2 linked regions of the Cricetulus griseus genome follow. The protein of the gene in region 2 binds, or shares a complex with, the protein of the main gene of each other region. Links are inferred from orthologs where the notes say so. Each region holds a gene or a part of one and is shown on either strand. Other genes may lie near its edges.

Region 1 (14,580 bases), about 130 Mb from region 2:
CAGTGAGGTGGTTCAGTTGAAAGCACTTATTGGACAAGCTTAAAGACCTAGGTTTGGCTGAGTGTTGGTGGCACCCGCCTCTAATCCCAGCACTTGGGAGACAGAGGCAGGCGGATCTCTGTGAGTTTGAGACCAGCCTGGTATACAAGAGCTCGTTGCAGGATAGGCTCCAAAACCACAGAGAAACCCCCCCTCCAAAAAAAAAAAAAAGACCTAGGTTTGAGCTGGTTGTGGTGGCACATGTCTTTAATCCCAGCACTCAGGAGCCAAGGGCAGGCAGATCTTTGTTAATTTGAGGCCAGCCTGGTCTACCTAGTGAGTTCTAGGACAGCCATGGCTACATAGTTAGGCTTTATGTATAAATAAATAAATCATAACAACATAATGGGGCCTGCAAGATGGCCAGCAGGTAAAGATTCTTGCTGCCAAGCCTGGTGACCTGAACCTACATGAAAAAAAAAAAAAGAAAACTAATTCTCTCAAGTTGTCTACTGACTTCCACATATGGAGTAGCATGCACATGCATGTTGGAACACAGCACATTTAAAATAAAATGTAATAGTTTTAACGTGGAGATAGCTATAACGTAGTGGGTAGACTACTTGCCTAACCTGTAAGAGGCCCTCAGTTGGTCCCCACATTGAATAAACTGGTCACAGTGTCATGTGCCTATAATCCTAGAATTCAGGAGAGAATAGAGTCAAGGAGGATCAGAAGTTCTTGGACATCTTCATCTACAAAATGAATATGAGGCTAGCCTGGACTACAGAAGATGCTGTCTGAAATGTATCTATGGGTATAGATATCTTTGCTTTACAGCTGGTGCGTGGTAGTATATACATCCCTGTAACCCAGCCCTGGGAAGGCAGAGGCAGGATAGCCACAGTCTTGAGACCAGACATGTTCACAGTGAGTCTAAGCCAGGTAGACCTTGCCTTAGAAACATGAACAAAACAACAACGCCACCAGCTTTTATTTATTTGAGACAGTCTTTCATTAAAACTAAAGCTTGCTGTTTAGACTAGGCTAACTAGCCAGGAAGCTGCACCTGTCCTTATTTCTGTCCCATCTGTCCCATGCTGGGTTATAGGCGCCTGCAACTGTGTCCAGCATTTATGTGGGCCAATCAGGTTGTCTTGATTTCTCAACAAGTGCTTTTAATTAATTAGTTTATAGCCTCCCTCCCTCCCACCCTCTCTCTTTCTTTCTGTCTTTCTTTCTTTCTTTCTTTCTTTCTTTCTTTCTTTCTTTCTTTCTTCCTTTCTTTCTTCTCTTTTGTTTATCTCAAGACAGCGTCTTACTATAAATAGCTCTGCCTGTCCTGAACTCACTATATAGATCAGGCTGTCCTGGAACTCAAAGAGATCTGCCCGCCTCTGCCTCCTGAGTGCTGGGATTAAAGGCGTGTGCCACCAACGCCCGGCTAACATTGATATTTTTACTTTTTAAAAAAATTACATTCTTGCAGTGTGGTGGCAGCGGCAAACGCCTAAGAGGCATCAGGAGTCCTATCTCTGTAAGTTCGAGGCCAGCCTGATCTACAGAGCGAGTCCCAGGCCATGCTCCAAAACAATACAGAGAAACCCTGTCTCGAAAAAAATAAAAATTAAAACAAAGCAAAACGAAACAAAAACAACAGCAACAAAAATTACTTTCTGGCCAGGCATGGATGGCTTTAATCTCAGCACTCTGGAAACACAGGAGAGTGAATCAAGTTCAAGGCCAGCCTAGTCTACAGAGTGAGCTCCAGGCCAGTCAGGAATACATAGTGAAACCCTGTCTCAAAAATGAGTAAACAAACTATGCCCATATTGTTCTTAGGACACACATTCAGAATATGACATGTAACATAATATTAAAACAACAAGACAAAACCACACAAGAATGTTTTCTCCCACTTGATTATCACCCAACTTCCAGGAAGGTTTCCCTATTGATGAAGAAACTCTTGGAGCAGGCGTTGGTGGCGCATGCCTTTAGTCCCAGCACTTGGGTGGCATAGGCAGGCAGATCTCTGTGAGTTCGAGGTCAGCCTGGTCTCCAGAGCGAGTGCCAGGATAGGCTCCAAAGCTACACAGAGAAACCCTGTCTTTGAAAAACCAAAACCAAAAAAAAAAAAAAAAAAAAAAAAAAAAAAAAAAAAAAAAAAAAAAAAAAAAATCAATGTTACCAAAAGCTTCTGGAGTGTTGCCCTTTTGTAATTCTAGAGTCTTTTTGCTATGAAAATCTCTAAAGTATCTGTCATTGAACTTTGTGCATAGTCACTCCCCCAATCCCCACCCTGTCACCCTCCCAAGGTCTCCGTGCTTTCTTCTGTTTTTTTTTTTCCTTTTCCCTTCCCTTCCCTCCCTCCCTCCCTCCCTCCCTCCCTCCCTCCCTCCCTCCCTCCCTCCCTCCCTCCCTCTATCTCTTCGAGATAGGGATTCTTTCTTTCCTTTTTTTTGTTTTTTTGTTTTTTTGAGACAGGGTTTCTCTGTGTAGCTTTGGAGCCTATCCTGGCACTCGCTCTGGAGACCAGGCTGGCCTCGAACCCACAGAGATTCCCCTGCCTTTGCCTCCCGAGTGCGAGATAGGGTTTCATGTAGTCCAGTCTGCCTTCAAACTCACTAAATAGCTGAAGATGATCTTGATCTTAAAACAAAATTAGCTTTTTATTTGTGAGTAAGTGTTCATGCATATGTGAGTGTTCATGTGCCCGTGGAAGCCAGAAACATTGGACCCCCGTGAAGCTTGGTTCTGAGAACCAAACTCTGGTCCACAAGAACTTTTTCTTGTTTGTTTGTTTTGAGACAGGGTTTCTCTGTGTATCTCTGGCTGTCCTGGAACTCACTCGGTAGACCAGGCTGGCCTCAAACTCACAGAGACCCGCCTGCCTCTGCCTCCCAAGTGCTGGATTAAAAGCGTGCGACACCAACGCCCGGCCAGAAACAACTTTTTTTTTGAAGAATTAGGAGAACAGGGTAGCCCAGACTGGCCTTGAACCTACAGCAATCCTTCTGCCTCAGACTCAGGAGTGCTAGGATTATAGATGTGGACCACCATGGTGAGTTTAGAAACTACTGTCTTTGCATGTTCTCTTTGCCCCAGATGTGTGCAAGATACTTTTAGCCCTTTGGTCTTCAGAAAACCCCTCTAGGGTAAGGACCTTTGTTATTACCCAACTGGAGGAAAAGAGAAGCAGACAGAAGAGGACAGTCTTTCCTCAGAGTCATGGGTGTGCACCCAGAGTTTGAACTGAGTGCAGCCTTTGTCCACCTTCCTGTTTGGGGTGGTGTCCCTTCATCTTAGCCTATACCTGGTTCTCTCCTTGTCAGTTCAGTGATCTGAAGTAACTGTGAGATGATTGGCCTCGCCTGTCACCTGGTTGCCCCTTCTGGGTCTCAAATGGAGACATTCCTATGATAAAGAGGTGAGGGAGTGGGAGGAGGAAGGAGGCTTGGTGTCCCTCTTCCTTGGGGCTTTGCCTCTGGCCTGTGACTTTTCATTCCAGCTCTCCACTAATTTGCCATTTCATTGAGTAACTTTTTGTAATTGGATGCACCTGGCCTGAAGCGCTTCCATTTACTTCCCCTGGTCATCTGCCTTCTTATCTGTTCTTTCTTTGAGACAAGCGTCTCCGTCTCCCATAGCCCAGGGTAGGTTTGTACTTTGGATCTTCCTGCTTCTGCCTCCTGAGTGCTGAGATTACCAGTGTGAACCAGTATACCTGAGTGCTGAGATTACCAGTGTGTGCAGTATACCTGAGTGCTGAGATTACCAGCGTGTGCAGTACACCTGAGTGCCGAGATTACCGAGTGCGCCACTGCACCTGGGTTTGCTCCATCATTTCTTCCTTTTACCTAGTGTTGGGAATTGAATTTAGGGCTTCAATCATATAAATCAAACACTCTACCCACTGAGTACATCCCCAGTCCTTGCTTTGTTGCTTGGTCTTCTTAGCTCTACCTTCGAAGAGCAGTGATGGTGAAGCACACCGGTGCACCTCTCAGGAGTTCTCGGAGGAGCAATGTGCTCCTTCAGCAGCCGTCCTTCATGTAGCTGGCTAGCTCCTTAGCCCTGAAGACCCCAGACAGAGGGGCTCTTGAAGACAAAGCCACTTCTAGAACTCAGCTGTCTCTGGGCGCCCTTCCTTTCTCTGTTAAGAGACCAACAAGGGATAAGTCAATATACACTCATGGGACAGCACAAGAGACAAGTGGATGAGGTGGTCAAGAGCTGGGGTGGGACAACCTCCACTGCTAAGCCTCCCCCATTTCCTAACTCAAGCGTGTTTAACTTTTTCTTTCCCCTTATTCTCTTCTCCAAATTCCTAAGCATGTTTGTCCTGGTGCTCTGGGATTCCCCCCAACCCCCACTTTTTTTTTTTTTTCTCTGATTTCTCCCATTCCATTTCTACAGATGCTTACAGATCTCCTCTGTTGCTGGTCCTGACTAAAAAAGCATGACTTTCTCTCTTCTTCAATCTATCTCCCTCTTCCTGGCAGCTACCTTCCTTGTTTTTGTTTTCAAACTCTAATACTTTAAAGTAAATGGAACCCGGGGGTTAGAGATGTAGCTCAGTGGTAGAGCATACCTGCCTAGCATGCACCAACTGCCCGGCTTTGAACCCCAGCATCTCTCTCTCCTGTTCTCCCTCCTGACCCCCTCCCCTGCTGCAAGGGCTTGAGCTCAGGAGCTAGACTGGACTGCAGCCTGCCTCCATCACTCGATAGCTGTGTGACCTCTCAATGGTTACTTAGTCACTCAATCTGAGTATTAGCACCCCAGCCCCCATTAAAAGGGGCAAAATAGCCAGGAGGTGGTGGTGAACCCCTTTAATCCCCTCATTCAGAAGGCAGAGGCAGGTGGATCTCGTAGTTCAGGGCCAGCCTTGTCAACAGAGTGAGTTCCAGGACAGCCAAGGCTACAGAGAGAACCCCCCCCCCCAAAGGGAATGGGTAAAATAATATACTTCCCGTAAGGTTGTTGTGTAGACGAGATGATTTATTACATCTCAGGTATGTTTGGTTCTGGAATATAGTACAATTACATGAAGACCTGTTTCTGTTGTTGGTGTTACAGGGAGGTGGTGTATCCCTCTAACATGCAGCCATACAGGACTTTGTCTTTGTCCTTAAGGACAGGAAGTTTGGTGGTGCATGCCTGTAATCCCAGGATTTGAATGGAGCAGGCAGCAGGATTGTTGCAAGATGGAGGCTCTTCATAGGCCAGTGCTACATAGCAGGGCCTGTCAAAACAAAACAAAACAAAACAAAACAAAACAAAAAACTAACAGGTGCATGCAATTGGAAGGTAATGGCAGATCAAATCCAGCCTCGATTATAGAGTAAATTCAAAGCCAGCCTGGGTAACTAAGACCTTGTTTCAGAAAGTGCCCGCTTATTTATTAATAAATAAATTATTAAAATAAATAATTTATTTATTTTATGTGCATTGGTGTTTTGCTGTATGCATGTCTGTGTGAGGCTGTCAGATCTTGGAGTTACAGACAGTTGTGAGCTGCCATGTGGGTGCTGGAAATTGAACCCAGGTCCTCTGGAAGAGCAGCCAGTGCCCTTAACTGCTGAGCCATCATCCTCCAGCCCCCCGCTTCCCAGTTTTTAAAGTGTACAGTTTGCAATAAAGCATGGTGGTACACACTTGGAAAACAGACGAGGAGTGGGAAAGTTCAAGGTGGATGTGGGGCTGTATGGTCAGACAAGGAAACCACTCAACAAAGAAACCCCTGGAGAGGTGACCTTCTGTGAGCTAATCCCATTATGCCTCATTTGTCCAGGAGAGGATGCAGTGGTGGATACTGAACCCTTGCTTGGTGCCCAGCAGGCAGATGACCTCATGCATATCCATTGTCTTCTCTGTGCTGAAGCTCACTTGGGCTGAGGTGACAGCAGTCCCTCAGGGGTCAGTCCCTGTCTTCTTTCTTTCCCTCCTTTTCTCTTTCTCCTTTCCTTCCTTCTTTTCTTCTATTTTTGTTTTTGAGATAGTCTCACTGTGTAGCTCTGGCTGGCCTAGAACTCTTTACTTAGACCGGGATGGCTTTGAACTCACAGAAATCTACCTGCCTCTCTCTGTCTCCAAAGTGCTGGCATTAAAGGTGTGTGCCACCATACTACACCCCAGCCTTTCTTCTTTCTTTCTTTCTTCCTTCTCCTCCTCCTCCTCCTCTTCCTCCTCCATCTCCTCCATCTCCTTCATCTTCTTCATCTTCCAGGCTCTGGCTGGCCTGGAATTGTCCACAGGCCTCCTCCCTCCTCCCGAGTGTTTGATCTCAGGCATGTGCCATCATGTCCAACTCTGCAATATGATGTTTTTTTGTTTTTAGTTTTGTTCTAGTCCAGGCTGGTCTGGAAATTTACTGTAGTTTTCTCAACCTTTGAAGTTCTAGTATTATTTCCATAAGCAGCCACTATATTATTATTATTTGGTTTGGTTGTTTTTGTTACTGAGATAGGATCTTATATAGCCCTGGCTGGCACTGAACTCATTAGGTAGCCAAAAATAACCTGGGACTTTATTTATTTATTTATTTATTTATTTTTAGTTTTTCCAGACAGGGTTTCTCTGTGTAGCTCTGGCTCTCTTGGAACTCATAGACCAGGCTGGCCTCAAACTCAGAGATCTGCCTGCTTCTGTCTCCTGAGTGCTGGGATTAAAGTTGTTTTCCATCACTGATTTGTGACCTTGAATTTTTGATCCTCCTGTTTCCACCTCCCAAGTGCTGGTCTTACAGGTGTAGGACAACATTCCAGGTTCTACAGTGCTGGTTATTGAACCCTGAGCTTTGAGCATGCTAAACAGGCACTCTACCAACTGGATATATATCCTCAGCTTCTCTCTCTCTCTCTCTCTCTCTCTCTCTCTCTCTCTCTCTCTCTCTCTCTCTCTTTTCTCTCCCTCTCTGTCTGTCTGTCTCTCTCTTGCCCCCCCCCCCTCCCCTGCCCCATGGGTTGGGGAACTCATTCTGTAGACCAGGCTGGCCTGGAACTCAGAGATCTGCCTGCCTCTGTCTCTTTAGTGCTGGGATTAAAGGCGTGCACCATCACCGTGGGGCTTTTAATATGCTGATTTCGACAAACACCACCTATACTTAAGTTGTTCCACGAATCTGGAAACAGTGCAGTGTCCCGTTCAGCGGACCCTGAGAAACTGCATTTGTTCATTTGCTTTTTCATTTTTATAATTTGTGTGTGTGCGTGCGCGTGCATACCGGGTGGTGTGTGGTGTGGTGGTATGTTACAGCGTTAGTGTGGAAGTCAGAGGACACCTTATGGGAGTTGATTCTTTTCTTCCACCGTGTGGGTCACAGGGATCACACTCAGGTTGTCAGCCTTGGTGACATGACCCTTTCTTTACCTTCCTGCTCAGCTGCCAGATGGTGCTGCAGCAAGTCTGTGGAATTCATTTAAGTAGACAAAATTCTGGAGCCGGGTTTCCCTGGACTGACAGTGAGGTCTCTTCAACTACCACTGTGCTTCAGTTTGGTGGTCTGCAAAATAAAGACCTGGAATGCACCTTGAGGTAGGAGCGACCCAGATATGCAGCTATTAACATTCCCTGGAGCAGTGAAGTAGGGTGCAAACGTGAATGAATGGATAACTTTGGGCGAGTAATTCTTTCCTGGGTGGCTAGAGTCAAGACGGCCCATTGATGGGGAAGAGGGCACCCTCCCAGAAAGTTCTCTCCACCGTCTTGGTCAGGAGGGCCCCGAGGGCCCGGAAGCCTGCAGAAGCCGGCGCCCCGCGGACCAATGGGCTGCGGGGAAGGAGGGGATTACGCCCGCCAGCCCTTTCCGTCTGCGGCCCCGCCCCCTTGGAACGTTGTGACGTCGGAGCATTCCACGGTTGCTACATCGTCGCGAGGGGCGGGGCGCCTGTCAGGGAAGCGGTGCGCGCGGGTGGCGGGCGGGCTGGGGCTTCTCCGTACAGTGCCAGCGCCAGCGCCAGACCCGCCCGCACCCCGCGCTCTCCCTCGTGCGCGTCGCGTCTCCAAGGACTCGCCAGCCCGCACTCCTGCTCTCGCCCGTGAGCCGCCTCAGGATGGAGCTGCTGTGTTGCGAGGGCACCCGGCACGCGCCCCGGGCCGGGCCCGACCCGAGGCTGCTGGGGGACCAGCGTGTCCTGCAGAGCTTGCTCCGCCTGGAGGAGCGCTACGTGCCGCGAGCCTCCTACTTCCAGTGCGTGCAAAAGGAGATCAAGCCGCACATGCGGAAGATGCTGGCGTACTGGATGCTGGAGGTAAGGCCCGGACCGGTCCCCTCTCCTCACCCTACCCCCACCTCCGGCTCTGGGCAAATCCAAGTTGCCCTGTCGGGGCATCATGAATCGGACCACAGTCTTCAAGATGCTTTGGCGGCCCCGACTTGAGGGGCCTGGCCTTTTCACACAGGCATCCACCCTAGCCAGCTGCCTGCGTTCTGTCCCCTTCCTTTCCCCAATCCCGATCGGCTTCTTCTGAGACTGCCAGTCACTTGGCACTGTAACTAAACTTCACTTCAGGTCGGGAAAGCGGGCTAAGGGCCACTATTTCCCCTCTGGCTTCTCTCGGTGTCTCCTGCTTCCTTCCTCGCCTGTAGTTCTCCGAGAGCGTGCTTGGAAAAGTCTGGGGCTCGACCGACCGCCTTAGCCCTAGAACTGGTTCCTGTGTCTGTCGCGGGGTTCTGGCGGGGGAAGCTGGTGGGGGTGGCGCGCGCTCGGTTCCGGTCCACAGGGAAATGAAAAGTGCGGGAGACCGCGGCAGGAGTTCCCTCCCTTCCCCTTGGGAGTGTGTGTGCAGTGGGTGGTGGTAATGAGGGTAAGGTCCCAATTCTCTCTAGGCGACCCTTCCGTCCCCCTTCCGCTCGCCGTGGGGGAGGGGAGTCTGGAATCCCTCGTGAGCAAGGGCTTCTCTCCTTTACACCCCCACCACTCAGGGGTGGGGAGGAGGCCAGGCAAAGGAAGTGGGGGGGTCACCTTGGGGAGGGCGCATCCTCCTCGGTTATTGATTCTTGTCACTGTAAGTTTATCCCGTCTCTGTTTATTTTTTGCTCCACATTCCACTCTCCCTCCACCCCCCATGCTGCTGCGTTTCACTTGGTCCTTCCCTAGCAATGACTCGTGCGCCATCCCTCAGGTGTGTGAGGAGCAGCGCTGCGAGGAGGATGTCTTCCCTCTGGCCATGAACTACCTGGATCGCTACCTGTCTTGCGTCCCCACCCGAAAGGCGCAATTGCAGCTCCTCGGTACTGTTTGCCTGTTGCTGGCCTCTAAGCTGCGCGAAACCACGCCCCTGACTATTGAGAAGCTTTGCATCTATACGGACCAAGCTGTGGCTCCTTGGCAGTTGCGGGTGCGTGTGGAATCCCCCTCTGTGGCGCCCCCCCCCCCGCTCTCAAATACTGTCGCCCTATGTACTAGAAAAGAGAACTCCAAGCTCAGTCCCTCACTCACCAACCCTCCCCTCGCCCTAGGCCAGTATTTTGGAAAAGAACTGGGGTGGGACAAAGGCCATGTAGTGTGGTAGTTGTGCTTTAGTTGCAGGCTTAAAACCAAATGAACCCCCTTCCTCTGACCATAGTGGGGTTACCCCAGATAGCAACCAGTCCAGTTGCTGGTCTATACACCAGTACTTTGCCTCTGGGTTTACACAGCCACCATGAGTTATTTATTGGCAGCAGCAGGGCATGTCTGCACACCCCCACCGGAGTGGAATGTGCTTCACGTGGGGGAGGGGGCTGCCTTGCATGAGTCTTTATCCCCGTGTGGACTTTGTGATGGAAAAGCCTCCCAGAGCTGATTAAAGCCAGGCCCTGATTGCTGGAAGGAAGTGCTGAGGTGTTTTCATCCCTTTCCCTTCTATTCCCAAAGACAGAGCCCCTTCCCTACCCACCCTTCCTTGTCTTCTGAAAAAACGAGAGCAGCTGCCCTGGGCCGGTGGAAGGGTTTCTCCCTTTGCCTCTTAGCCAAAGGCCGAAGAGACAGGGAGCCGAGCTGCAGCTGCTTCGATGTGATAATGATGCTGGTCCCCTTGCCCTCCCACTCAGACCAAGGGCTTTCATAACCCTGTGGGGAGCTGCTGTCACTCCTGTGGTTTGGGAAGTGGCTCCTTGGGGTCTCTTGCTGGGAACATGGGCTGGGCTCCTCCAGGCGGGGCAAAAATCGGTTGGGTTTTGCCCTGCCCCGAGGAGTCTAGGGAGGAGGTGGAGGAACTGCTTGAATCTGGAATAGAGCTTGAACATCATCTCCCACAGGGTCTGGGGGAGAGGGTGGGTGAGCTGGCACCTCCCTCCACCTTATTCTGTGGCTAGCCAAGCCTTCCCTGACCCTGAAAGGAGTCTCTGGGCCCCATCTCCTAGGGAGGAGGGCAGCAGGCAGGCTAATGTGATTGGCTGGCTGGGAAGCTAGGGTACTGGGGCCCCTGACTGCCTTGAGTCGGGGAACTGGATTCCTCTCCCTGTCAAGCAGCTGATGGGAGGCCTGAGTTGGGAATCAGGGAGGCCCCACAGCTCTTTGTGATGAATCTGGTAGTTTCCACAGCCAGGGAGCAAGATGTTTTCGAGGGATTGAGGCAGGGAGGTAGGAGACTTCCTCTTTGTGCAGAGATTAGGGTGGTCTACATTAGTGTGTGTGTGAGGGGAGGTTTTCAGAATAGGCAAGCCTTCTCCTAGAGGCCTGCGCTGAGTGGCCTGCGGTCAGAGCTGTAAGGGACCTCTAAGAACTCCAGCAGTCTAAACCCTTGCATCGCAGGGCCCGAGAAAGGAGGGGAAATTCCAACTGTATGGCACTGACCAGAACGCCTTAAAGCCAGGGATGAGCAGTATGCAGCCAACCATGGTGTTCGGGAGGTGGGGCTGGGATTCTCATGTTGTCTGGATATCGGGGAGGGTGGCCACCTTCCCTCAGTGAGGACCCCACACAGTCTGGTTGCCTCTTGCTTCCTTGGAGGCTGGATGCTGTTGGTTACCAGGGCAAGCCTCTGTGCCTTACTTCTGGCTCTGGCCCAGGCTTTTTCTGTAGGCTCTTCTAAGTACCCTGGGGCTGACACCTAGGTCGTGGGACAGAGAGAGGGACAGCTGTTGCTGGGGTCCTGGAAGAGGTTGGGTGGGGCTGACATTTGTACCTCATTGAGGAGTCAAACCCATGAGTTCCTTCCTGAGATAAAACAATGAAGAAATCCTCATGTGTGCAACTCGGAAATGCAACTCAGGCCAGGACTTGGAAACCCAGACAAATGAGCTGGGGTTGGGGCTCCTAGACTACTACTATGACCTCTTATTGGTTATGTAGGCTTGGGCAGATGCCTCAGGGGCTATCTGGATTCATCCTGTTTGGCTTGGCCTCCGTGTCTTGAGACAGGACCCACCCCTGGTGTCCCACAAAAGGGGTGTGGGTGGGGTTGGGTAATCTCCCCTTTGAGGAACCTCAGGAGTGCCTCATGTTCATTCTGTCTCTTTAAGAGACCAGGCTGAGATGCAGGGCCAGGGAGGGACAGGCTAATGACTGTGGCTCCCCTTCTGAAGTCCTTGCAGTTTAGTCTTTCTGCTTCAACTGATGCTGGCCTCACATTCATGGGAAGACTAAGAGGGATGTCATGCCATTCTAGTACCCAGTAATGATGAATAGATGCTCAAGAAAATGCCCTGAATTCATCATTCCAAGGTGCTAACTCCTGCAGCCAGAAGTAGAACTGTAAATCTTCTGCCATATCCTGACCTGTTTTGCCAGCCACTGACTCCATGCTCATCCCCTTTCTCCAGGAATGGGAGGTGCTGGTCCTGGGGAAGCTCAAGTGGGACCTGGCTGCTGTGATTGCACACGATTTCCTGGCTCTGATTCTGCACCGCCTTTCTCTGCCCAGTGACCGACAGTCCTTGGTCAAAAAGCATGCCCAGACCTTTTTGGCCCTCTGTGCTACAGGTAAGAACCTTGGACACGGGGTTTTCCAGTTTGGGAAAAACCATGATTTGAAGGCTAAATAGTAATCAGGAGATTGTTTCCATACTCAGAACTATTCATATAGGATCTTTTTTTTTTTTTTAAGATTTTATTTATTATGTATACAACATTCTGCTTCCATGTATATCTGCACACCAGAAGAGGGCACCAGGTCTCATAACGGATGGTTTTGAGCCACCATGTGGTTGCTGGGAATTGAACTCAGGACCTCTGGAAGAGCAGTCAGTGCTCTTAACCTCTGAGCCCCTCATATAGGATCTTGGTGATCCTGGGATGGAGGTATGAGGCACTGACTAGCCTGAGGCCCCCACCCTAGGGGTTTGGGTATTCTCTAGTTCCTGACCAGGTCCAGCCTGGGTGGAAGGAAATTTTGCTGTTCTCAGATCTCAGAAGGTTGGGTGGGGTATAGTGGTTCAGTGATTTTGTGCATGCCTCAGTCAGATGCCAGCACCATGGACACACACACCAAACACTCCCATTGTCCCTGAGTCACCCCACCCACCACTGGGGGTTCCCAGTATGCTGCATCCATGCAACCTGGCATGCTGTAACAGGAAACAGAGGTATAAGATGACTCTTCTCATGGCTCCCTTTCTTTTACAAGATTACACCTTTGCAATGTACCCTCCATCCATGATCGCTACAGGCAGCATTGGGGCTGCAGTTCAAGGCCTAGGAGCCAGCTCTATGTCTGCAGATGAGCTTACAGAGTTGCTGGCAGGAATCACAGGCACGGAAGTGGTAAGTCTCAGGCCCCATTCACAAAAAGCAGTGTTATCCCTCAAATCCCCAGAAGAGGGCAGCATCCACCCCCAACTCCAGTTGTACAATTTTGCCTGCTTCTGTGGCCTTTTATCTCCTGCCTCTGGAGAGGATCAGGTGGGATGAAGGACACACATGTAGCTGCCCCTCTCTTGCCAGTGGTATGCTGCACCAAGGGGTGGGAGACTTGGTGTCAGATGCAGGGCTGCTCTCACACCCTTGCCACATCCTCTTGCCAGTTTCTGAGAACTGAGACCCAATTCCTGGGCTGGGTTGTGGCCTAACCTCCCCAGACTTCCCGATGTGCAGGGGGGTGGCCTTTCCCTTGCACCTGCCTGTTGTTACTGACCTTGTTGTTCTTCCTAGGACTGCCTGCGAGCCTGTCAGGAGCAGATCGAAGCTGCCCTCCGGGAGAGCCTCAGGGAAGCTGCCCAGACTGCCCCCAGCCCAGTGCCCAAAGCCCCCCGGGGCTCTAGCAGCCAGGGGCCCAGTCAGACCAGCACTCCCACAGATGTCACAGCCATCCACCTGTAGCTTGGGACAGGCCCCCTCAGGTGGCCACCAAGCAGAGGAGGGGCCACTGCCACCCCTTCCCTTCCTCTAGGAACAATCCATGCTATATCGGAAGCCCGATGGGGGGTCCTCCTTCCCCTCACAAAGCCCAAGGGGCCAGGTCCTGCCTATCCCCACAGTTGTGCACTAAGGTGCTGGTTGGCCATGAGGGCTCTGCATGGCCAGTCAGCTCCTCCTCCTTCCCACCTGACCAGCTCAGCTGTTCTGGGCCATGCTGGTCAGAGAAATCCAAACAGGTAAAGTCCATGCACCAGCATTCCTTGTGAGTCCCTCCTCTCTGGGGCTCTAATTTTCTCAATTGCCAAAACGCCCCAGTTCCTTCCAAAGGTGTTGCCCCTCCTAGGGTCAGTGCATTTGGATTCGGGTCCTTCAAGCATCCTGATAACCGTGCATGAGGTACCAAATAGATGGCTGCTGTGTAATCCATGCTCCCAGCTGCTCTTGGAGGGAACAGCCTAGGCCTTGGTCAGAGGGGCAAGAACCTACCAATTCTTGCTTTGCTTCCTGCTTAGCTTCTGTGATTGAGGGCTCTTTGAGGGGTGCTGATGGTCATTTTAATTTATTGCTTTGAATACAACTGTAAGAGGGTACAGTGAGGCCTGTACCCCACAAGCGGTGGTAACCCTGGTGGTTGCTGTTTCCCTCCCCTCTGCTACCGCTTTGTGGTCCAGGAGCTGCTACAGCCTGGGATGGGGCCGTGCCTTCCTCTCCTGAGGCCCTGTACCTCGTCTTCCAGCAGAGGGTTTGAGTAAGGATGGATGCTGTGGAGGACAGAGCCTATCTGGAGAGGTCCAAGCCCTATTGACACAGGTCTTTCCTTAGGCCACAAGGTTTGGGCTGGTGGCCCATTTCTATCATGCTGCCTTAATAAAGATTCCGGAATAAAACTTGCTTTGGCTCTTGAAGTACCTGGGGCTGTGTGTAGAAGCAGGGAGGCACAAGTCAGCTGTCTCAGGTAGGGAACATTTCTTCTTAAAGGCAATGTGGCCCACTTTACCGATGCACTTCTACAAGTTATGGTTTAAGGAGTGATCACCATGCCCCAGAGGGCTCATGGGAAAACAGGTCTGGACAGTTTTATGTAAAACAAGAATTTTGCTGTACTCTGGCATGGTGGCCTATTCCTGTAATCTTTGGTGGCACTCACAGGGCAGAGGAAGTTGTTTTAGTCTACCCTGTGCTACATGGCAAAATCTTGCTTCAAAACCCACACGGGGACCGCACTAGTGGCCCAGTAGCTGAGAGTATGGGCTACTCCTGAGAGCTATGATTTGACCACAACCATCAGTAACTCTAGTCTCAGGATCTGATGCCA
Region 2 (14,563 bases):
AGAAATTGATTGTGATGCATGCCACTATCTTTAGTACTGGGGAGATGGAGCAGTAAGATCAAGCATTCAAACATTTGAAGCTACCCTAGCTACATGTCTATTTTTTTAAACTTTTTATTTTATGTGCATTGGTGTAAGGATGCCAGATCCCCTGGAACTGGAGTTACAGACAGGTATGAGCTGCCATGTGGGTGCTGGGAACAGAACCCGGGTCCTCTAGAAGAACAGCCAGTGCTCTTAACCACTGAGCCATCTCTCCAGCCACTTACATGTCTATTTCAAAGCCAACCTGAGCTATATGAGACCTTATCTCATCAAAACAAAATTACACACACAGAGCCAGAGCCAGAGTAGTTGTTCATGTCTGTAGAAACAGCATTTAGAAAGCTAAGGCCCTTCAACTATACTGTCTCAAATATGATTTCAGAGTTTAGTGTTTGGGAACATAGCACAGGAATTGAACGAAGAAAACACTGACTCCAATCCCTGGCTTCAAAAACCAATTTTATTTTTTTAAAAGACTTATCATGTACATAGTGTTTTGCCTGTGAGTATGTCTGCAGGCCAGAAGAGGGCACCAGATTTCATTACAGATACTTGTGAGCCACCATGTGGTTGCTGGGAATTGAACTCAGGATCTTTGGAAGCCAAGGCAGTATTAACCACTGAGCCCCACCAATCTTACTTTATTTTGAGACAGGATTTCTCTGGGTAGCCTTGGTTATCCTGGAACTAGCTCTGTAGACAAAGCAGGCCTCAAAGTCACAGAGATCATGATGCCTGCTTCTGCCTATCCCGTGCTGGGATTAAAGGTGTGAGCCATTGCCACCTGGCTAAAAAACAATTTTAAAACAGCTCTAGATTTTAGAGTTTCTCACAGATGGGTACATGGTCTTTTATTCCCCAAATGGTGGGAGACAACAAAGGAGTTGGAGCCCACAACACAACGAATGCCAAATCTACCTGTCTACCTAGATTTCTGTGGGCACAGACCACTTGGGAAATGCCCATAAGGGCAAGAGTAGCTCTAAGAAAGCTGCATTAGAAATAAAAAGGAATGTGACACCAATGATGAGTTGCATGTTTGCAGAGGGACACAAGACGTTCTCGGGCAACATGGTGGTCTGAAGTGGTGTTGGTGACCGCCCTTGTACACGCTCACCGTTTTGTCTGTTCATATGCACAATTACATACATATGTAACACAATACAGAATCTTAGTGTTAAGAGCCTTTTAAGATCAGGCACCCTGTTGGGCCGTAGTGGTGCACGCCTTTAATCTCAGAATCCCAGCACTTGGGAGACAGAGGCAGGCAGATCTGTGTAAGTTCGAGGTCAGCCTGGTCTACAGAGAGAAACCCTGTCTCGAAAAAAAACAAAACAACAGAGTTTCCAATAACTCCTTGCTGCTTTTAATATTCCCAGGGAGGTTTGCAAGTTGGAAGAGGGGAGGGCATTACGTTGCCACTCTTCCCATACAGTGACTGAGTATATTAATCCTGCTGTCCATCTTTTAGCCCTAGTTTCCTTCTTGGATAGGAATCGTACTCCCTGTTTCATAAGGGGCCACACTTGCCTACATTAGATACCCTCATCATTACTTCAGAGGGCGAATGGCTGAGACACCAAAACAAAAACATCACATACCAACTGGAAAGGAGCCCTTAGTAAAATTTTTGTTGAATGAATGAGTAAAACGAAGGCACAGTATACGAATGCTCCTTCCCCATGGCGCTGGAGTGAAAAATGTGACAGTCCCATCTCTGGTACCAGGATCTCCCACTAGCACCCGGACCTCCCCGCCCACGTCCAGACAAGGAGTGAGACGGAGAGATGCGCACAGGCTCGGCCTTGAGCCCAGAGTTGAGAGCCGGCTGGCCCGGTTGCCATGGCACCGCCTGGTGCTCCACCCTCCCTCGCCCCCACACACCCCCTCGGCAGTCAGGGACTGGCGGCGGGTCACGTGGTAGGCGGCGTAGCCACGCCTCTGCTTCCCAGCGCAGAGCTGAGGGGTCACGTGGGATAGCAACAGGTCACGTGCCCGAGCGAGTTTCGCCCCCCCCATCCCAGGTCATCCACTGCGCATGCATGGATGGATGGATGGATGGATGGAGACCACGTGTCCGCCGCGAACGTCCGGCGTTCGCCCCCCCCCCCCGGTTTCCGCGCGCCTCCCTGGCTGCTGGTCACATGGGGAGGGTGGGGGTGAGGGGGGCCTCTCTAGCTCGCGGCCCGTGTCTATGGTCTGGCCCGTAGCGTCCAGCTGCCCGGGACCGATCCCCGGTGTATGGCGCCGCAGGAACCGGCTCCCGGGCCCAGATAAAGGGCCACCTCCGCAGCTCTTGGCCGGGCGAGAGGTGAGTGCAGCCGCTTGCAGGGATGGGGCCCGGCGCCCCGCCACCACCCTATGGATCCCCTCGTTGTGGAAGGATGGCCCAAGGGCGGGAAGCGGGGCCTTTGTGGTCGCGGCCAGCGTGTGATTTTAGGGAATAAAGTGTGCAACCTTCGATGCCAACGCCGTGCATTGTGATGGTCTTCTTTGTGCCCGGTGCGATGTCCCGTTCTCCCCCCTCCTCCTCCCCGGGAGGAATGCATTCTTTTTCGCCCCTCCGGGACATCACGTGGCTGGAGGGCTCGGTGGGAGAGTCTTTTGTGTTACCTGAGGCGCGGCACTCTGGCAGCGTGGAGGGAGGGGATGGGCGGCTGTGTCGGTGCGGTCGTGGGCAGGAATTCCTTTGTTACTGCTGGGTCATCCCCCCTCCTAGCTGTGAAGGAAAGGAGGGCTTGGTTTTAGAAGCCTCTGTGATTGTAGGAGATCTCCCTGCTCCGAGAATGGCTACCTCCCGCTATGAACCGGTGGCTGAAATCGGTGTTGGTGCCTATGGGACGGTATACAAGGCCCGAGATCCCCACAGTGGCCACTTTGTGGCCCTCAAGAGTGTGCGAGTTCCCAACGGAGGGGGAGCTGGAGGGGGCCTTCCCATCAGCACTGTACGCGAGGTGGCCTTACTGAGGCGGTTGGAGGCCTTCGAGCACCCCAATGTTGTACGGTGAGGAGGTTGGATTGGGAGTGGGGAGGAAAGAATGGGATCTGTAAGCCAGGGGTGTGGTCGTCGGGAGTGGGACCCTAGGACTCCAGAGGCCACGTTGGAACAAAGGACATTGACCGGCTGGCGACTGTTTATTTTTGTCAGGCTAATGGATGTCTGTGCTACCTCCCGAACTGATCGAGACATCAAGGTCACTCTCGTGTTTGAGCATATAGATCAGGATCTGAGGACATACCTGGATAAAGCACCCCCACCAGGCTTGCCAGTTGAGACCATCAAGGTGAGCGGGCTGCTCGGTGAGAGGTGGATCCGGGTCTTTGTAGTAGGGACTCTTGGGGTTTTTGAGCGTGTTACATGGTGTCCGGGGCTTTCTCCTTCAAAACCAGGACCTGATGCGACAGTTTCTAAGCGGCCTGGATTTTCTTCATGCAAATTGCATTGTTCACCGAGACCTGAAACCGGAGAACATTCTGGTGACTAGTAATGGGACAGTCAAGCTGGCTGACTTTGGCCTGGCCAGAATCTACAGCTACCAGATGGCCCTCACACCTGTGGTGAGTGGAAAGATGGCAGCCCCAATGGGATTCGGCTTTAGGTAGTACTTGATTTCCCGTAGCAGCTGAGGTGTGTTGTGCTTGACGTTCTCAAAGCCCAGCAGCTATGAGCCATGAAAAGGACTCTCACTCGTTTCTCCTCTTCTGTTTAGGTTGTTACACTCTGGTACCGTGCTCCTGAAGTTCTTCTGCAGTCTACATACGCAACACCCGTGGACATGTGGAGCGTTGGCTGTATCTTTGCAGAGATGTTTCGTCGAAAGTACGGGGCTTGAAACTTTTGTTTTTTAAGACAGGGTAGCCCTGGCTGTCCTGTGACTCCCTCGGAGATCCGCCTGCCGCCACCACCTGGCTCAGGGTGTGGAACTCTTAGGTCCCTTCAGTTACACAAATCTTTTGATGTTACTTATGGTGTTAGAGGTTGAAATCAGAACTGCACATACACTGGGCAAATGCTCTATACCACTAAACTACACTCCCCGCCCCTGGGTCTTTTTACAAGACATACCCGTTCTTGACCATTTTTGTGCATATGGCACTGGACGCCCCAACCTAGGCTCTTGTATTTATCAGGCGCGTGCCCTGCCACCCAGCTATAGTCCCAACCTATCCTGTTTATGTTCACCAACTTGCCTAAAACCAGAAACGATGCAGGCAAATTTCCTGAAATGTCTAGGAATTAGGAACTTTGTGTTCCCTTATTCTCCGTCCTCTCTAATCTCAGCCACTTTGATTATCATTCCCTTATTTCTGAAATAATATATACTTGGAATATTTTTCTACCTTAGGCCTCTCTTCTGTGGAAACTCTGAAGCTGACCAGTTGGGCAAAATCTTTGAGTAAGTGTCCAATAAAGGGGAAAGAAATCCCCCCCCCCCTTTTTGTTTGTTTTTTTCGAGGCAGGGTTTCTCTGTGGCTTTGGAGGCTGTCCTGGAACTAGCTCTTGTAGACCAGGCTGGTCTACAAGATCTCAAACTCACAGAGATCCGCCTGCCTCTGCCTCCCAAGTGCTGGGATTAAAGGCATGAGTCACCACCGCCCGGCTAAAATTCCCCATTCTTAATTCAGTTTCTGCTCAATTCCAAATGGCAGTTGGCCCTGGAGATGGAAACTGGAAAAAGCCCCCCTGACCAGATTTGTGTTATCCCTACAGTCTCATTGGATTGCCCCCAGAAGATGACTGGCCTCGAGAGGTATCTCTTCCCCGAGGAGCCTTTTCCCCCAGAGGGCCGCGGCCTGTGCAGTCGGTGGTACCGGAGATGGAGGAATCTGGAGCACAGCTGCTGCTGGTAGTGGGCATGGGCCAGGGAGGTGGCTCTGTGATAAAGCTTTTAGGGCATAAGTGTAAGGACCTGAGTTTGAATCCCCAGAACTCGAGTAAAAGCTATGTGTCAGTGAGCTTCTATAGTGTCTCTTAATACCAAATGGGTGGTGGAGATAGAATTCCCTGGAAGCTCACAGGTCAGATAGTCTGGTTAATACAGCACTAACAAGAAACTCTCAAACAAGGCGGAAGGGAAGTACCGGCATTCCAGACTGTCCTAACCTGATTTCTATGTGAGCATTGCCTTGAACATGCAATGAACATAGAAGAAACAACACAGGGCCCAAGGCCATTGTGGAACCAAGTTCTAGTTAGTGGACAGGCTGTAGTTTTTCCTGTTGCTATGAGTGGCCAGCAGGGTAGGATGCAGGAAACACCTGCACAGCGTTTTGGGGTGGGCATCATCCCCCTCGGCTGGTTTCTGACCTTTGCCTCCCCTCATAGGAGATGCTGACTTTTAACCCACATAAGCGGATTTCTGCCTTCCGAGCCCTGCAGCACTCTTACCTACACAAGGAAGAGAGTGACCCAGAGTGAGAAGATTAGCTGCCTCTCCTCTCCTTGGGACACTTGAGCGACAGCGAGAACCTCAACTTGTGCCTTCCTCTGGGGCTGTGGAGACACCTCCAGTTTTTTACAGAGAATATTTTAACCCTTAAATGACATTCCCCCCTCCCTATGAGGCTTGTCCTCTTGCCCTCCCATCTCTCTCTCTCTCTACACTAAAGGGTGGGTGTCTCTGTCTTCTTCCCTCCCTGATTTATACTGGGATCTTTTTTATACAGCAAAAAAAAAAAAAAAAAAAAAAGACAAAGAAATATGGTCTTTTTTTCACCCCTTTAATGTTTTTCTGATTGGGTTTGCCTTTGGGAGATTTGAGAGCCCACTTGCAAGAGGTTTCTCTGCAACACCTGTAGGCTGTCACACAGGACTTAGGCAGTCCGGCTGTTTGGCTGACAAGATTGAAAAGGACCTTTCTATCCTTTCTCGTTTTTTTTGTTTGTTTTTGTTTTCAGTTAAAATGGCTTTAGTTTTACGTCTCTGCTTCACTCTGGGTCCTGCCTGGGTAAGACTGCTATGATAGAAACACTTGCCTATCATGTGTGAGGCCCTGGGCTGTAGCCCTGGCGCGCTCCCCACAAAAGTTGTTTCCCCTGGTATTTTCTGATTTGTCCTTGGAGCCAGGCTAGGGTGTCTAAGTGAGGGAAAACAGTTAGGAAAAGCTCCCAGCTCCCATCCATGCTTCTAGGAGTAATACTATATTCTCCCAGAAAGAGGTATTAAGTTTTTCTTTCCCTATATCTTGTTTCCATCAAAATTTGTAAAAACAAAAGTTTAACCACTTAATTAGGTTTAGTGGGTTAGGTTCTTTAAAACAAACAACATGTGTCGGGGGAGAACCACACCTAGGTTTTCAGGAGTTTAGGAGGGGAGAGCAAAAGCAAGGATCCAGAGACTTGCTGAGTGTGGTGACACACCTGTAACCCCACCACTGGGTCGCTGTGGCAGGGGGATCCAGAACTCAAGGTCATCCTTGGCTACATAGCAAGTTGGAGACCAGCCTAGGCTTCAAAGATCCTATCTGAAAGATAAGAAGTCTCATAGAAAGGCACTGGGGTTGGCTCGGGGGTCTTTTTGGTTCCGGAATCTCATTGCCAGCCAAACACCAAGGATCTGCAGGAGAGGGAGAGAGCAAAAGTTATTTTGGATCTTGGGGTTTAAGGCTTAGGGGTGTCTGTGTGAGGAAGGGGGAATCATTACCTCTGTGAAGCTAAAGAAGAGGCCAACACCACCTAGGATTTTCAGGGCTTCATCCGAATGTTTGAGGAACTTCTCCCCACACATCTGGCATGCAGAACTTCTGGTCTTGCACATCTGCCGACAAAAATATAATAAACAGAATGCAAAGCTGCTAGCCTTCCCCATCCAAATTGCCACAATGAATGTCCCCAGAAATAGCTGGTATTTGAACAGTTCCCAGACTGGAGTCCCACTTGGCTGAATCCTTACAGCCCAGTTCATGGCTCACGGCTCACACTGAGGTCACTTATTTGGGTATGGCCCTTACCCATTTCCTCTTAGATGCACTACCCATCCTTCAACTTACTGCACCACAGGAAGTATCATCTTGTAAGTACGGCATTGTAAGGTTGAACAAACCACAGCAGTCAAAACTTCTCTCCAATTCATGCCGGGTACTGTTGCTCATGACCCACCAGGACGCGTTGATGACATCCATCTAGAGCACACATACAGGCAGAGGAACATTAATGTCCCTACCCTCCACTCTCGGTTCACATGCTTCAATCGCCCTATTCTGGCAAATGCAATCAGCCTCCCACAGAAACAGGATGGCACATCATGGTCACAGACAGTGCCTAGTGTCTTTCTCAGGTTCTCTCTGACTACATCTTGGGGAGTTAACCATACATGTCAGAGGAAGCACACACCTCTGAAGTAGTGGACCCAAGGATGAAGGTGTGCAAGGATCACGTTAACAGATCTTCAAAGGTGGAGATAGCAAGCACGAAAAGCATCACCGCCTTACCTGCTTGTTTCTGTTGATAGCCAGACAAGAGCAAGAGATTGCAAACTGGAAGATGAAGACCAAGCCAAGGATGATCATGTACTGAGAAGTAGTTATGGCAAAAAAGAGATCTAGTTTCCATTTAAAATATCAGTGTGAAGGCCAGCCTGGTGTGAGGTCCAGGCTAGCCAGGGTTATGTAGCACAATCCCATTTTTTTGTGTGTTTTTAAAACCTCACCCAGTGTAATTTGTAACCGCAATGTGGCAGGCAAGGGGACAGAGTTCAAGGCCCTTCTCTGTTCCTAAAACTAGTCTTATCAAGTTGAGAAAAAAAAAAAAAAATCAACTTCTAAGCCAGGCATTGGTGTCTCATGTGTGCAGCCTGGTTTTGTGGAAACAGCTAGAGACAGCTGTGTCACCAGTGGTGTTTAGAGAAGAATCCTATCTTGTTTGTTGGGGCTGGAACACTAGCCTTCGAGTCATGGGGAATTAAAAAATAGCCACACTGCCGGCCTGTTGGTGCACGCCTTTAATCCCAGCACTCGGGAGGCAGAGGCAGGCGGATCTCTGTGAGTTCGAGGCCAGCCTGGTCTACAGAGTGAATTCCAGGACAGGCTCCAAAGCAATACAGAGAAACCCTGTCTCGAAAAAAACAAACAAAAAATCAACTTCTGTGAATTACACAGTAAGAACAGACGTGTCTGAGGTTCCCAAACCCTTTTAGGAAAAGCCTGCCCAGGGACCCCAATCACTCCAGGTCAGGATACAAAGAAGAGCAGCACTTGGTGGTGGTTAACAGCCCCCACGAGCCCAGCCACTGCAATGAGGAGAAGGAAGACTCCCACAGCAATGACTCCTCCAATGATGTGAATACTGGACACCAGACCCAGGCCCTTGCCCCAGGCAGCCACGCCAATGAGCAATAAGCCCACAAGCTGCAAGAAACAGAAAGTAGAATACATTTCAGCCTGATGTGGTGGCTCACACCTGTAATCCCTGCAAACCGCAGTACAGCAAAGTTCAGGCTAGCCTGTGCTAGCCACATAATGAGACCCTGTCATCGCCAAAGAACTCTACCATGCAGCACTGCCAAAGGCTATTACAAGGGGACGTGAACTAAGTACGGCAGGCAGCGGAGGTGTGCTTTCAGAGCTACTCATTCCTGGACGCGCTTCGCAAGTAACTGGGAATATCTGGGATAGTGGGGCAACGGCAGTAGCGTCTCAGGATACACTCCTTAGGGTTGTCCGGCGTCTCTATTTTGGGAAGAAACCGGAGCACAGGTGGAGACTGGGACTGTAGGCCCACAGTCCTCGATTCACCCCTCCCCACCACCACACAAGCCCCCTCATTACCGGAAGTCTCTCCTCTTCCACGGAAGTACCCAGGAATTCCCTCTTCGCCGGAAGTTTCTGGAAAGCTTCCCAGAACCCCCAGTAAACCCCTCTCCCCACCGGAAGTCCCCTAGAAATTCTCCCTATTCTGTCCGCCCCAGAGCTTTCCCCACTCCCAAAACCTCACCATATAAACCACGTTGAGAGCGCACAGCGCATTCTTGGAACAGGCAAATCCGCCGCAAACCATCTCCCCAGTTCTGGGGACCCAAATGGCCCCAAGGACTTGAGGGGAGGGTATCGGGGACTGCCTTGTAGGACTCCAACAGCTTCTATCGCTTTAAATCCAAGCCAGCCAAACCAATTCTCTGCGCCTGCACCGTCCCACCCCTGCCTCTGGATTGGCGAAACTCGTGGCTAATCCAGGACATCCAGAATTTCAGTGCCAATCAATCTACATTACGTCACCAGCCCGCCTCCTAGTCCTTCCCTCGGTTTTTTCATTGGACGAAACTTAAAAAAAAAAGAAGAAGAAGAAGACAGGGTTTCTAGACAGTTTCTTAGGGACCAGAGCCTAAACTTCAAAGCCTGTGCTCCCTGCGGCGACTCTAGGAGTCCGAGGAGAGACTTGGGGGACTCAGGTGAACAGAAAAGGAGGGGCTTGTAGAGGGGGGAGGAAGGGGCTCCGCCCTTCCAAGAATAACCCTTCCCGCTGGCTCCCCCATGTTTCAGGACGATGCCATCGTTTTGTTGGTCGTGCGTCATACTCTGGAACACTAAGAGGAACCAAATATTGAACTATGTAGCCCAGCTAGGGAGGATCCAAGTCAGACATAGCAACTGCCGGCAAATCCCCACGCATTTGTTTTTTTCTTTTTCTTTTTTTTTTTTTTTTCGAGACAGCTTTACTCTGTAGCTTTGGAACCTGTCCTGGAACTCGCTCTGTAGACCAGGCTGGCCTCGAACTCACAGAGATCCACCTGCTTCGGCCTCCCGAGTGCTGGGATTAAAAGCGTCCACCACCACTGCCTAGCATTTGTTAAATGTGTCTACTAGTACGCATGTTCTGTTCTGCATTCCTTCCTCTGCAGTGTGAACATGCCAGAAATTCGAGTGGAAACAGTGACTTGAGGCCGGTTCATTCCTGTTTGTCACAAAACCACAGGCGCAGACACTGGTGTACATCTTTACAATACATACGTACCTGATGCTGGGCTGGCTCAAAATAATACAAGGTGTGAGGGCAGGACTGGACTATGAATAAATGAAGACTATCCATGCTTTCTTTTTTAAATTTATTTATTTTTACTTTACGTGCATTGGCATTTTGCCTGCATGTCTGTGCAAGGGAGTTGGATCCCTTGGGAACTGGAGTTGCCGACAGTTGTGAGCTGTCACGTGGGTGCTGGAATTGAACCCCGGTCCTGTGGAAGAACAGACAGCACTCTTAACCCCTGAGCCATCTCTCCAGCCCCGACTCTTCATATTCTCACTCCAAGGGGGGGAATAATGGGTGGCTAGCCAACAATGCTATTACATAAGCATCTGGACATAGTGCCCTTTGAATAGGAGTGAGAAATGGTGCAACCCTTCCCTTCCTCCTGGACAAAGAAGTGACCTTGGTGGGAACAAATGAAAAAAAAAAAAAAAAACACCTCCCCATCAACTCCACACGGTGATTGGAGTCTATGTATGCTCACATCATGTGACCTGCCTACAGTCTAGTCTTGTGCTGGAGTCAAAGTAAACCAGTTTTTTACTTTATGACTTAGTATCTGTATGGGCCAGGCACTTATTAAGGCCTCTGCACCTACTTCTTCATCCATAAAATGGGGATAGATAATAATGCATCCACCTCTAATGATACTTCCCTAACAACTTCTGTTCTGTTGTGAGCACCAAATGAGCGAGGATCTATAAAATGTCTGAGTTAATACCCAGTACCTAGCAACACTCAGTTAACAACTGTTTAGTCCAGGGGGCTGGAGAGATGGCTCAGAGGTTAAGAACACTGACTGCTCTCCCAGAGGTCCTCCTGAGTTCAATTCCCAGCAACCACATGGTGGCTCACAACCACCTATAATAAGATCTGGTGTCCTCTTCTGGCCTGCAGGTATACATGCAGGCCAAACATTGTATACATAATAAATAAAATCTTAAACAAAAGAAACAACTGTTTAGCCCATTTTTATGGAGTCCAATAAATAATCCAAACTCAACCCCTTGATCTCTGAATATAAAGACATTCACACACTTACTTTTCCTAAACCATCCTCAAGAAAATATGCATGATAGTCTAGAGAGTTGGCTCCAAGGTTAAGAGCACTGAGTTCAGTTCCCAGAACCCACATGGTGGCTCACAACCATCCATAGCTCCAGTTCCAGGGGACCCAATACTTTCTTCTTACCTATGGAGGCACCAGGCACGCACAAGTCACACATACATATGTTCAGGCAAAACACTCATACACAGAAAATAAATAAATTTTTGAATGAAATAAATACTGGCTGGGGGGCTGGAGAGATGGCTCAGTGGTTAAGAGCACTGACTGTTCTTCCAGAGGTCCTGAGTTCAATTACCAGCAACCACATGGTGGCTCACAATCACCTTGAATGAGATCTGGTGCCCTCTGTTGGCACGCAGGCAGAAGACATAATAAATAAATAAAATCTTAAATAAATAAATAAATAAATAAATACTGGCTGGTCCATAATGGTGCACACCTTTATGTCCCAGTACTCAGGAGGCTTTACATAGTCAGGCGTTGGTGGTGTACACCTTTAATCCCAGCACTCGGGAGGCAGAGGCAGGCGGATCTCTGTGATTTTGAAGTCAGCCTGGTCTACAGAGCGAGTTCCAGGACAGGCTCCAAAGCCACAGAGAAACCCTGTCTCGGAAAAAAAAAATTAAAAGAAGCTATACAAAAGAAAATAATTTGCTATCTCCATATAGGTTCAATCTGTCTTTGAAACAAAATAATTAGGTCAAAGCTAGGGAGATAGGCTGGGGATGAAGAAACCTAGGAGACAGGCTCAGAATAAAGTACTCGCTGTACAAGTGTGAAGGCCAGAATTTGTATCCCAGGGTGTCCACAAAGGCCAGGCAGGCATGGCTGCTGCCAGTAACTCTGGCACTCTGGAGGCGGAGACAAGGGGTCTTCAGAGCAAACTGGCTAGGTTAGCCTGTCAGAAAGTTCTAGACTTGCTGGGAGACCCTGCCTCAATGAATATAGTGGAGAGCAATCAAGGAAGACACACAACCTCAACCTTGGATCAACCCACACAAAGGCACATATGTCGATGCACACCCAAACGCACACGCTGTGATGAGTAGTTTTACCTGTGTTGACAGGGTTTAGAATCATCTGAGAAGAGAGGCTCAGGGAAAGATTTTTGTCTACATGGGGTTGGATTGTGGGTATGTCTCTTTGGGGGGGGGTCTCTTAATTCAGTTAATTGATAAGAAAAGAACCAGTCCACTGTGGGCGGCCCCATTCCCTAGGAAATCATGAATTGTATAATTCATGATTAGGAGGTAGGCTGGGCATTGGTGGCACATGCCTTTAATCCCAGCACTCAGGAGACAGAGGCAAGAGGATCTCTGTGAGTTCGAGGCCAGCCTGGTCTCCAGAGCGAGCGCCAGGATAGGCTCCAAAGCCACACAGAGAAACCCCCTGTCTCGAAAAACCAAAAAAAAAAAAAAAAGAGTGGAGGAAGCAGGATGGTGGTGGCACATGCCTTTAATCCCAGCACTCGGGAGGCAGAGGCAGTCGGATCTCTGTTGAGTTCGAGACTAGCCTGATCTACAAGAGCTAGTTCCAGAATAGCCTCCAAGGCCACAGAGAAACCCTGTCTTGAAAAACCAAAAAAAAAAAAAAAAAAAAAAAGGGAGGTAGACAGCTGAACACAAACAAACAAGTGAATATATGACATTCCTACAGCAATGGGCTACAGTGCAGAACTATAAACAGAAATAAACACATGCTGACTAAGTTGGGTTTTTTTTTTTTTTGCCACGGAATTGTATCACAGTAAAAGAAATGAAGCCAGAACACACAGGAATACATACACCTGTGCATACCACGCACACATATACATGCCAAAAAAATAATTGAGGTAACTACCATTACTTACGACACCCCCCACCAACTTGCTTTACCTCCATTTTCTCTTTCAATTCCTCGTTCTTCTTCTATATCGAGTCATGAGTCAAGAGCAGAACAATGGTGCTGAGGAACTGGCTGGAAAGTATATCAGTTTCGTGTCTGTTAAATTAAAAGTACAATTGGATCTTTGTTCACCTGTTATGGGCCTTTCTGAGCAATGGTTTGCACTTCTACATAATAGTGATAAATTATCCTACCCTTTGGGCTTGTCCTTAATATACATGAAAGTCTGTTGTAAATGATTAAATGTTATACACATGCTAATTATTATAATAGAAACTGTACTTGGAGCACATAGTTTTATCTGGCTATAGGTTACTTTCCTCCCCTATAGTCCATTCTTCACATAACTACTTGAGTCTTTTAAAAAGGAGATAGTTATAGTGAATAAACGACTAAGAGAAGCCTATAGGAATGCGTAGAGAGGGGTGAATAACTGGAACTTGAACGCTTAATGTTTAGAAGTATGAGCCTTAGCTTTAATGGCCCCAAAGAAAGTACACTAGTATACTAAGGGGATGTGGATTTCTGTGTGATTCTGAGGCAAATTTGCAAATCACCAAGAGTATGGGACCTACCTGTGATCTTGCTGGCCACATTCTCCCAGAACCAACACCCATCTTAATTAGCTACCTCCCACAGAGGCTGTGAGAACTCTTATTAAGGTTGCCTGACAGGAATCATACCCAGGGCTGGCTGTCAGAGCTGAAGGGTCAACGCTAGAGGGGGCAGGAGGTGTAAGAGGTAGTACGGTGTGGGTTGTGGGTTTGAAACTCACCAGTCAGGAAGTGAGGCCGACAGACGGAAGGGCGGGCAGGGTTGAGGAGTGCTGGGGCACAGCAGAAGGGGCCTTCTGAAGTTTGGGGGCTTCGGGGTCATGGGCGTCAGGGCTAGAGCTAGTTGTTAGTCTGGCGAGGCAGGTCTGTATAACATGTATGCCCAGAGGCAGTTGGCTCTAGCTACAGTAAGAGCAGAAGTCAGACGACATGAGGTGGCCAAGCAAGCTCTAAGCCGACTCAGGAAGCTGGCAGAGAGAGTGGGTGACCCTGATCTCCGAGATGGCATCCAGGCTTCACTGGACAACATACGAGGTAAGAGATGCATCAGCCCTAACTTGGCTGTTTTGGGGGAGCAGCAGGGGACACAGAAAGGCTTAAGGGTGTCATAGCATAACTGCTTGCTGTTCAAGCAGCCACTTCCTACTTCTGAAGATGGAGCTGGGACTCGGGAAGAGGACATTTGGGGGAGGATGGAAAAAGACGTGGAGGGGGGTATTATTATCCCTCTTTCCAAAATCGCCTCTGAGCAAAATACTAGTCACTGTGGAGCTGACCTTCTTGGCAGTAGATGAGTGCGTAAGCGTTGGGAAGACAGGCTGTAACAGACCCATTAGATGGAGTCTCCATCTGGGGAGTCCAGAACAGGAAACGGTCAGGGCCAGGAGGTTCTGGGACTTGATAATGTGTTCATTCCCAGGACCCACTAAAGATCAGTGACCTCTCGTTCTCCAGCTGAGAGAAACACGAAGGGAGGGGGTGTGTGATATATGAGGTTCCTGAGCACACTACTAACCCTTAAAACCCCACACTTTGTATAGCTGCAGTGCTG

Evidence for each region.
Region 1: the proteins of Cdk4 (region 2) and Ccnd3 are in contact, whole or in part, in a crystal structure (PDB 7SJ3), measured with the Homo sapiens proteins. The link is inferred for Cricetulus griseus from reciprocal best matches to the Homo sapiens genes CDK4 and CCND3. Residues at the interface, in NP_000066.1 of Homo sapiens: Gly46, Gly47, Gly48, Leu49, Ile51, Thr53, Val54, Arg55, Val57, Ala58, Leu59, Arg61, Arg62, Glu64, Ala65, Phe66, Val77, Ala79, Val89, Asp129, His132, Ala133, Asn134, Cys135, Arg163, Ile164, Tyr165, Ser166, Tyr167, Gln168; in NP_001751.1 of Homo sapiens: His11, Pro13, Arg14, Ala15, Gly16, Pro17, Asp18, Arg20, Leu21, Arg26, Val27, Ser30, Leu31, Arg33, Leu34, Arg37, Tyr38, Glu74, Lys112, Leu113, Arg114, Glu115, Thr116, Pro118, Ile121, Glu122, Pro134, Arg138, Glu141, Val142.

The regions. Positions count from the first base shown.
Region 1 is NW_023276806.1:256,934,383-256,948,962, forward strand, and holds Ccnd3 (G1/S-specific cyclin-D3), read left to right. Parts: upstream 1-7,848; 5' UTR 7,849-8,036; coding exon 8,037-8,234; intron 8,235-9,108; coding exon 9,109-9,324; intron 9,325-11,731; coding exon 11,732-11,891; intron 11,892-12,534; coding exon 12,535-12,671; intron 12,672-13,058; coding exon 13,059-13,226; 3' UTR 13,227-14,156; downstream 14,157-14,580. UniProt on the Homo sapiens protein: Regulatory component of the cyclin D3-CDK4 (DC) complex that phosphorylates and inhibits members of the retinoblastoma (RB) protein family including RB1 and regulates the cell-cycle during G(1)/S transition.
Region 2 is NW_023276806.1:130,631,643-130,646,205, reverse strand, and holds Cdk4 (cyclin-dependent kinase 4), read left to right. Parts: upstream 1-2,198; 5' UTR 2,199-2,356; intron 2,357-2,811; 5' UTR 2,812-2,831; coding exon 2,832-3,049; intron 3,050-3,193; coding exon 3,194-3,329; intron 3,330-3,435; coding exon 3,436-3,603; intron 3,604-3,755; coding exon 3,756-3,865; intron 3,866-4,391; coding exon 4,392-4,442; intron 4,443-4,756; coding exon 4,757-4,892; intron 4,893-5,371; coding exon 5,372-5,464; 3' UTR 5,465-5,735; downstream 5,736-14,563. Other genes in the region: Tspan31 (tetraspanin-31), read right to left, coding at 6,527-6,601, 6,689-6,802, 7,035-7,166, 7,476-7,556, 8,223-8,390, 8,977-9,039.